2 linked regions of the Rattus norvegicus genome follow. The protein of the gene in region 1 binds, or shares a complex with, the protein of each later gene. Links are inferred from orthologs where the notes say so. Each region holds a gene or a part of one and is shown in the gene's direction. Other genes may lie near its edges. The genes, in order: Eif3i and Eif3l.

Region 1 (2,802 bases):
TCAGTGGTAGAGCCCTTGCCTAGCAAGCGCATGGCCCTGGGTTCAGTCCTCAGCTCCAAAACAAAAAAAAAAAGAAAAGAAAAGAAAAAAAAAAGAAAGGAAATTGCAACTGCGCGTGGACCGACCTTAGACAGCTTGGTGGGGCTGTGCCTCACATTGAAAAAATGCAAGCCATCTGGGCCTGGAGAGATGACTTGATGGTTAAGAATACTTGCTGCTCTGGCAGAGGACCTGAGTTCTTTTCCCAGCACCCATTCGGCAGTTCACAGCTATCTGTGACTCCAGTTCTAGGGGATTCAAGGCTCTCCTCTCAGCTGTGGGCACAGACACATGTATATATACACATGCAGGCACACACCCATCCACAAAATTGTTTTAATTAAAAAGAGCCGGGGGGGGGGGGGGGTTGGGGATTTAGCTCAGTGGTAGAGCGCTTACCTAGGAAGCACAAGGCCCTGGGTTCGGTTCCCAGCTCCGAAAAAAAAGAACCAAAAAAAAAAAAGAGCCAGGGGTTGAGCTCAGTGACAGAGTACGTGGAGTCAGTCAAGCTCAGTACCAAAAGTAAGGCTTGCGGGAGGGACTAGGGGTCAGAGATTAGGTTGAGGGTAAGAAAGGTGTCAAGTCAAGTTCAGCTGGTCTTGGGCTTCTGGGGAATGGCGGCTTGGACTCGGGCACGTGGGTCTAACTGGTCCTCCCCCTCCAGTCTGGAGAGGTATTGGTGAACGTTAAGGAACACTCCCGGCAGATCAATGACATCCAGTTGTCTAGAGACATGACCATGTTTGTCACCGCATCCAAGGACAACACAGCTAAGGTGAGCTGGGTAGGGGTCTAGTCACTTGCCCTCCTGATGCATATTCAACCGGTTCGACCTGCCGGGAAAGGTGCCCATCACAGGTTCTCCCCCTCCCTCCCAGCTCTTCGACTCCACAAGTCTTGAACATCAGAAGACTTTCCGAACAGAACGTCCCGTCAACTCGGCTGCTCTCTCTCCCAACTATGACCATGTAAGAAGACCCTGTCCAGGCCTCCTGCTAAAGCGTCTAGGGTCTGGATGTTTGCCCAACAATTAGGCTGTAAGATGGGGAAAATGGTGTCAGGTAGAAAGGAACTCCTACCATGGTTACAGTGCTGACTGATTTGTGGCAGAAGGTCCTTGAAGTGGCCGCTCACCCCCTCCCTGACGATCCTCCCACTGTGTGGAGAGATGTTATAAGCAGAAAAGCAGAGGACAGGCCTGTACCTAAGTCCTGGCTGCCCTGATCTTTCTTCCCTTTAGGTGGTGCTGGGAGGTGGTCAGGAAGCCATGGATGTGACCACAACCTCCACCAGGATTGGCAAGTTTGAGGCCAGGTAAGGGGAAGGAAGCAGACTCCTGACCACTGAGGATCAAAGGGAACGTGACAGATGTCCAGTGCAGCAGGTGGGGTCATGAAATCAGCTGCACATACAGCTGGCTAAGGCGCTCGCCTCACACCAGCCTCAAGGTCATCCTTGGCTTTAGCTCAGCTCCTTGCTCTGCTGGGCTACAGGGGACCCTGTTTGTAAACAACAGCAGGGATCGTGAACCCTGGGGGCCTAGATGACATTCTCCGTATCCGGGATTCTCGACTGTTTAGTGGGACATTGCTCACCTCAGTAATGCACCTTTGTGCATGTTAAGTAAATGAATTAATATTATGAGAGCTTTAGAGCACTGCCAGCTGTGTATTGAGGCAGATGTTTGCATAGTTTTCCTTCGTAGTTTGCTTCGTCTTATGTCTCCTTTATCCTAATTCCTCTACTTTATTAATTTTGTTACATAAAATACTACCTCAGTAGTCTTCGTTTTGTAGAATGCTGCCTCGGTGCCTTTTGGAATAACTGGGTCTCCTCTACCCCCTCCCCTACCCCAGGTTCTTCCATTTGGCTTTTGAGGAAGAGTTTGGAAGAGTCAAGGGCCACTTTGGACCTATCAACAGTGTTGCCTTCCATCCCGATGGCAAGAGGTATGGCCCCACTGAGGAAACAGCCCAGCGGCCGGGGGTCTCTGCCCATTTGCTTTGTGGCTGCGCAGGCTTCCCCTCCCACAGCAGCAGCTGACTGTCGGTCTCTTTCCAGCTACAGCAGCGGTGGCGAAGACGGCTATGTCCGCATCCACTACTTCGACCCTCAGTACTTCGAGTTCGAGTTTGAGGCCTGAGGGGCTGGATCTCTCTCCACAATCGGGAAGCTGCTCACAGAAGGTTTTAGACTCTGAAGAATAAATTAGTTTGTTAAAAATAGTTCCTTGTCAGACGTTTTGTGCAGCCTGACCATTTTTCCCTCTTCACTGAGCCTCGAGTGGCTGATCATAAAGAATACTTTTATTATTGGAGTCTTCTCTCGGCACCCAGACTCTGCATGCTTCGGGCTCACCTGTGTGGTAGACATCTTTATCCAAGAGGCTTAGAACCACTGCACCACATTCAAGAAGCCAGGCTGTGGGCAAAGAACCTTCCCCCTACCCTCTTATCCCTAATTGATGGCTCAGGTGGGCGTGACCAGCACAGGAAAGGGCCTGAGGAGGAAGAGAGGTGAGGAAACCCAGCAGGGAGGGAAATCTCCAGGGGAACTGGGGATTACTTCACCGAAGACACAGGTTCTGGGGCTCCACAGAAAGCCATGACCAAGGAATCGAGGGTGTGGCGTGGGTGGCTCTTGGTTTCCTATGTTGGGCATAGGAAACCCATGTTGGGCAGCTCACAACGGCCTGTAACCCCACAAGCCTGGTAACCTGGTTTAACCCTCCGGTCCAAATGTTGAAAGAGAGTCAACACTTGA
Region 2 (3,825 bases), on another chromosome or scaffold:
TGTGGATATCTGACGTTTTTGAAAACCATCTATCTATATAAGGTAATCTGAACTATTGTCTCCATATCCTAAATTTTATCTTGAAAGTACTCTTACAAACTCAGAGCCATGACTTTGCTATTTGAATCTTAACTCACAGGTGTAATCAACTCAGAAGTTTGTAATGACAACAATAAAAGGACTGGCTCTAAACCTTGTACTTTTAAACTTTTTTGACAAATAAATTCTATACCCAAACAAAGATGATTTAAGCTTAGTTACCAAATGAGATTATGACTGTACAATTCAATCTAGCTGTTAAATTACAACCAATTTTAAATTCCTCATAAAAACAACTTTAGAATAACCACTTTCAGCCCCAACAAAGTCCAGGGAATTAGGGCGACAACTCCTCTATAACTTCTTCAAGCTGTACATGGGCGTTGAGATATCCTTGGGCGTAGGGAGGTAGGAAGAATGAAGCAAATGCTGTAGCCGATGTGTCTGGCTGGACCCAGCTGAAAGTCCTTGAGACCAGGAATCCAAGTGGGCACACTCTGTAACATATAACTCTCAAGACAAACATTTAGAATCGAGATATCTTTTAGTTTGATTCTCCTGAATAAATTTTTCAGGTGGCCTACCTCTATCAAATCTGATCAGTATGACTCTGTGAGGTTTCCAGAGCCTGATAACACTTTTTAAAAGCACAAAGACAAAAATCTTTCTCCCAAAATACTGTGTTCCTTAGTCTGAAACCAGAAAGGCTTGTATCTTGCACTCTCTCCCAGAGTAATAATTTAACCATAAAACTCAAAGTCACACCCATCATGAAGACTAAACAATTTTTTAAAAATGAAGTAAGCTAAACAATGAGCCTGATAGGCTTTTGTACTTTGTGATATCAGGAAATTAACCCAAAATTCCCGTGGAGCCCACGTTAAGAGAATCCGAGCTTCCTGTTGTGTTAACTATCAAAAGTAACCACAAACCCTCGCTAGCCGGCATCAACGAGCCATATGGTCTTTAGCGGGGTAATTCATAAAACAAACCAAATACTTTCTATCAATTCCAATATCAATAAGGAACATATCAAACCAGGACTTTAACCCAAAATATCTCAATCTGTCAAGCTCTCTACCTGGAGCCACATATTTTTATTTAACCTCAATAATTTCTATAATATATGTCTGCATTCACTCTCCCTGGTGTTACAGACAATTATCACAACTCTCTACTTGGAGTTAGTGACCAATTTTTCCCTATCTAAGTTCCGAACCATAGATGAAAATCCCCACGTGATTCAGGTAATCTCTTTACTCTCTTTAAAACAAACTTAAACACCTTCTATCAATTCTAAAACCAATAAGCAACTTAAAAATCAGGACTTTAGCCCAAAATATATCCATCTGTTAAGCTCTCTACCCGGAGCCACATATTTTTATTTAACCTTAATAACTTCTATAATACATGTCTGCATTCACTCTCCCCCTGATTCAGGTAATCTCTTTACTCTCTTCTTTCTAAAAACAAATTTAATCACCTTTTAATAATACCTATAATTAAGAAGTAGCTTGTCTAACTAGGATTTCAACCCAGAATTCTCGTGGAGCCCAAATTAAAAAGAATATGAGTATCCTGAAAGACTTTCTAAACAAATTTCTTTAAAAAGCAGCTTTTAATCTTTAACTCTCTGAGCTGCCATTACATATCACACAGCAGGGGACCGACAGTCTGCCAGCCCAGGCTGCTTCCCCTCTCTTTGTTTGAATTCCCGCCCTTAAGATATCACATGACTTAAGATGGCGCTGGCCTCCTCTTGGAAAATAAAAACTTTCTCTCAACTCTTAAAATTACTAGTGGATTCTTGCCCATCACATTGGTTCTCCATCTGTTGTTGTAAAAATATATAAAATAGAAAGGTATAGGTGTCTTTTACCTTGCTGGGTCCTGCACCAAGGTGCCCAACGTATCTGCTAGATATCTTGGCGGAACACATCCCAACTCCTCAGTGGCCCAGAGTCTCCTGCCGCCACACACTTTCCTATACTCAAACCATCACATAAAAGAACACACAATAATCTTTGACCCAATTGATAAGATATAATTGCCCACTTAAACATACAAAGCCTGGTACCATCCATCCCTTAGGAACATTGATAACAACCTGTAAATACACAGAGCAGAATCTTAACATCACCTGCCATGGCTTCTCACCTTCTCCTCTCTTGACACTTAGGTTTTTAATGTCTGTCTGTTTGTCTTTATGTTTTGGAGACAGGTCTCACTGTATAGCTTTGACTGTCCTGGAACTTGATGTAGACCCGCCTGTCTTCAGACTCACAGAAAGGCACTTACCTCTGCTGCCACTGAGCCCTGATGACTTCACCCTGTTTGGGATGAGTCAGGACTCATGGCTACTGCTTCCACCTTTCTTTGCAGAGCATGTATTCCCGTGTGCCTGAGTGCCAGGTCACCACCTACTATTATGTTGGTTTTGCATATTTAATGATGCGTCGATACCAGGATGCTATCCGCGTCTTTGCCAACATCCTCCTGTACATCCAGAGGACCAAGAGTATGTTCCAGAGGACCACATACAAGTATGAAATGGTAAGAGAAGTCTGTCTCACCAGGCAGCCCACTGCTCAGCACCTGTGCCAACAGTTCTCCATAAACACCACCCAAAATTTGCTACTCTTAAACTACCTCACTTCAGTACAGTTTAAATTGGGTATATTTGTGGGATATGTGGTAATTAGATTTTAAAAAGAGAGATAGAAATCAGAGCTGGGTTTGCTGACACAAACCTTCAATCTTAATCTTTGTGTATGGGAAGCGGAGACAGGTGTATCTTTAAGTTTGAGGCTAACCTGGTCTACAGAGTGAGTTCCAGGACAGCCAGGGCTATGTAGAGAGACCCTGTCTCAAAAGAAAATCTTAGTGTTTCTCATCCTTAACTATTTATCATTTGTTTGTGTTGAAAACTTTCAACCTGTCCTTTGAGTTCGTAGGTTTGGTTTTTAGTTTTTCAAGACAGATTTCTTTGTGTAGTCTTGGCTGTCCTAGATCTTGCTCTGTAGACCAGTCTGGCCTCAAACTCAGATCCGCCTGTCTCCCGAGGGCTGGGATTAAAGGTGTGCTCCACCACCACCCAGGTCTCCTAGATCTTTGTAGCTATAAAGTGATATAAAATAGTGCCCTGCTGTGCTGTAGATAGACTCGGTAATTTCTTTTCGGTCTTTTATAAGCTTCTTCTCTGAACACCCCCGCCTGCCTTCTCCCTTCTAGAGGCGTCACAGGGGCTGTTGTTTAGGAACTCCATTGATGGCTGTGGCCTGCTACTGTCTCCCTGTTCACAGCAGCTCAGGCTCTGGGGTTACGGGAACACCACCCCTGCCTGTTCTGTCTTTTTAAAACAGTGTGATGTTGTTTCTAATCATTTGATTTTCATGCATGTGTGCAAAGTATCTTCATGTTCTCTCCCTACTCCTCCCTCTTAACTCCTCCCAGACCCCAACCCTCTTAACTCTGTATCTTTTGTTTACTTAATTTTTATTTTATTACTCGTTTCTATTTCATAGCCCAGGGAGTAGTTGTGCTCCCACATGCTCATGGGTGTGGAGACACTGAAAACTGGCCCTCAGAAGCCATCAGCCGCTAAAGGCCCCTCAGCCAGGGGTGTGGGCTGTTGAGCTCCTCCCTGATCCATGGAGGAATGTTGACTGGCAGCAAACCACAGTTGCTGTCAGTTCATGCACAGGGACCCTGCCATGGGACACTACTGTGCTCCAGAGCCCTTACAATCTCTCTGACCCCCCTCCTCCGTGGTCTTGGGTGAAGGGG

The links.
Region 2: Eif3i (region 1) and Eif3l share a complex: the UniProt entries of both Homo sapiens proteins name them as parts of the eukaryotic translation initiation factor 3 (eIF-3) complex. The link is inferred for Rattus norvegicus from reciprocal best matches to the Homo sapiens genes EIF3I and EIF3L.

What each region holds. Positions count from the first base shown.
Region 1 is NC_086023.1:147,218,919-147,221,720, reverse strand, and holds the end of Eif3i (eukaryotic translation initiation factor 3 subunit I), read left to right. Parts: intron 1-703; coding exon 704-814; intron 815-917; coding exon 918-1,007; intron 1,008-1,279; coding exon 1,280-1,353; intron 1,354-1,895; coding exon 1,896-1,988; intron 1,989-2,100; coding exon 2,101-2,182; 3' UTR 2,183-2,264; downstream 2,265-2,802. UniProt on the Homo sapiens protein: Component of the eukaryotic translation initiation factor 3 (eIF-3) complex, which is required for several steps in the initiation of protein synthesis.
Region 2 is NC_086025.1:112,535,729-112,539,553, forward strand, and holds part of Eif3l (eukaryotic translation initiation factor 3 subunit L), read left to right. Parts: intron 1-2,421; coding exon 2,422-2,592; intron 2,593-3,825. UniProt on the Homo sapiens protein: Component of the eukaryotic translation initiation factor 3 (eIF-3) complex, which is required for several steps in the initiation of protein synthesis.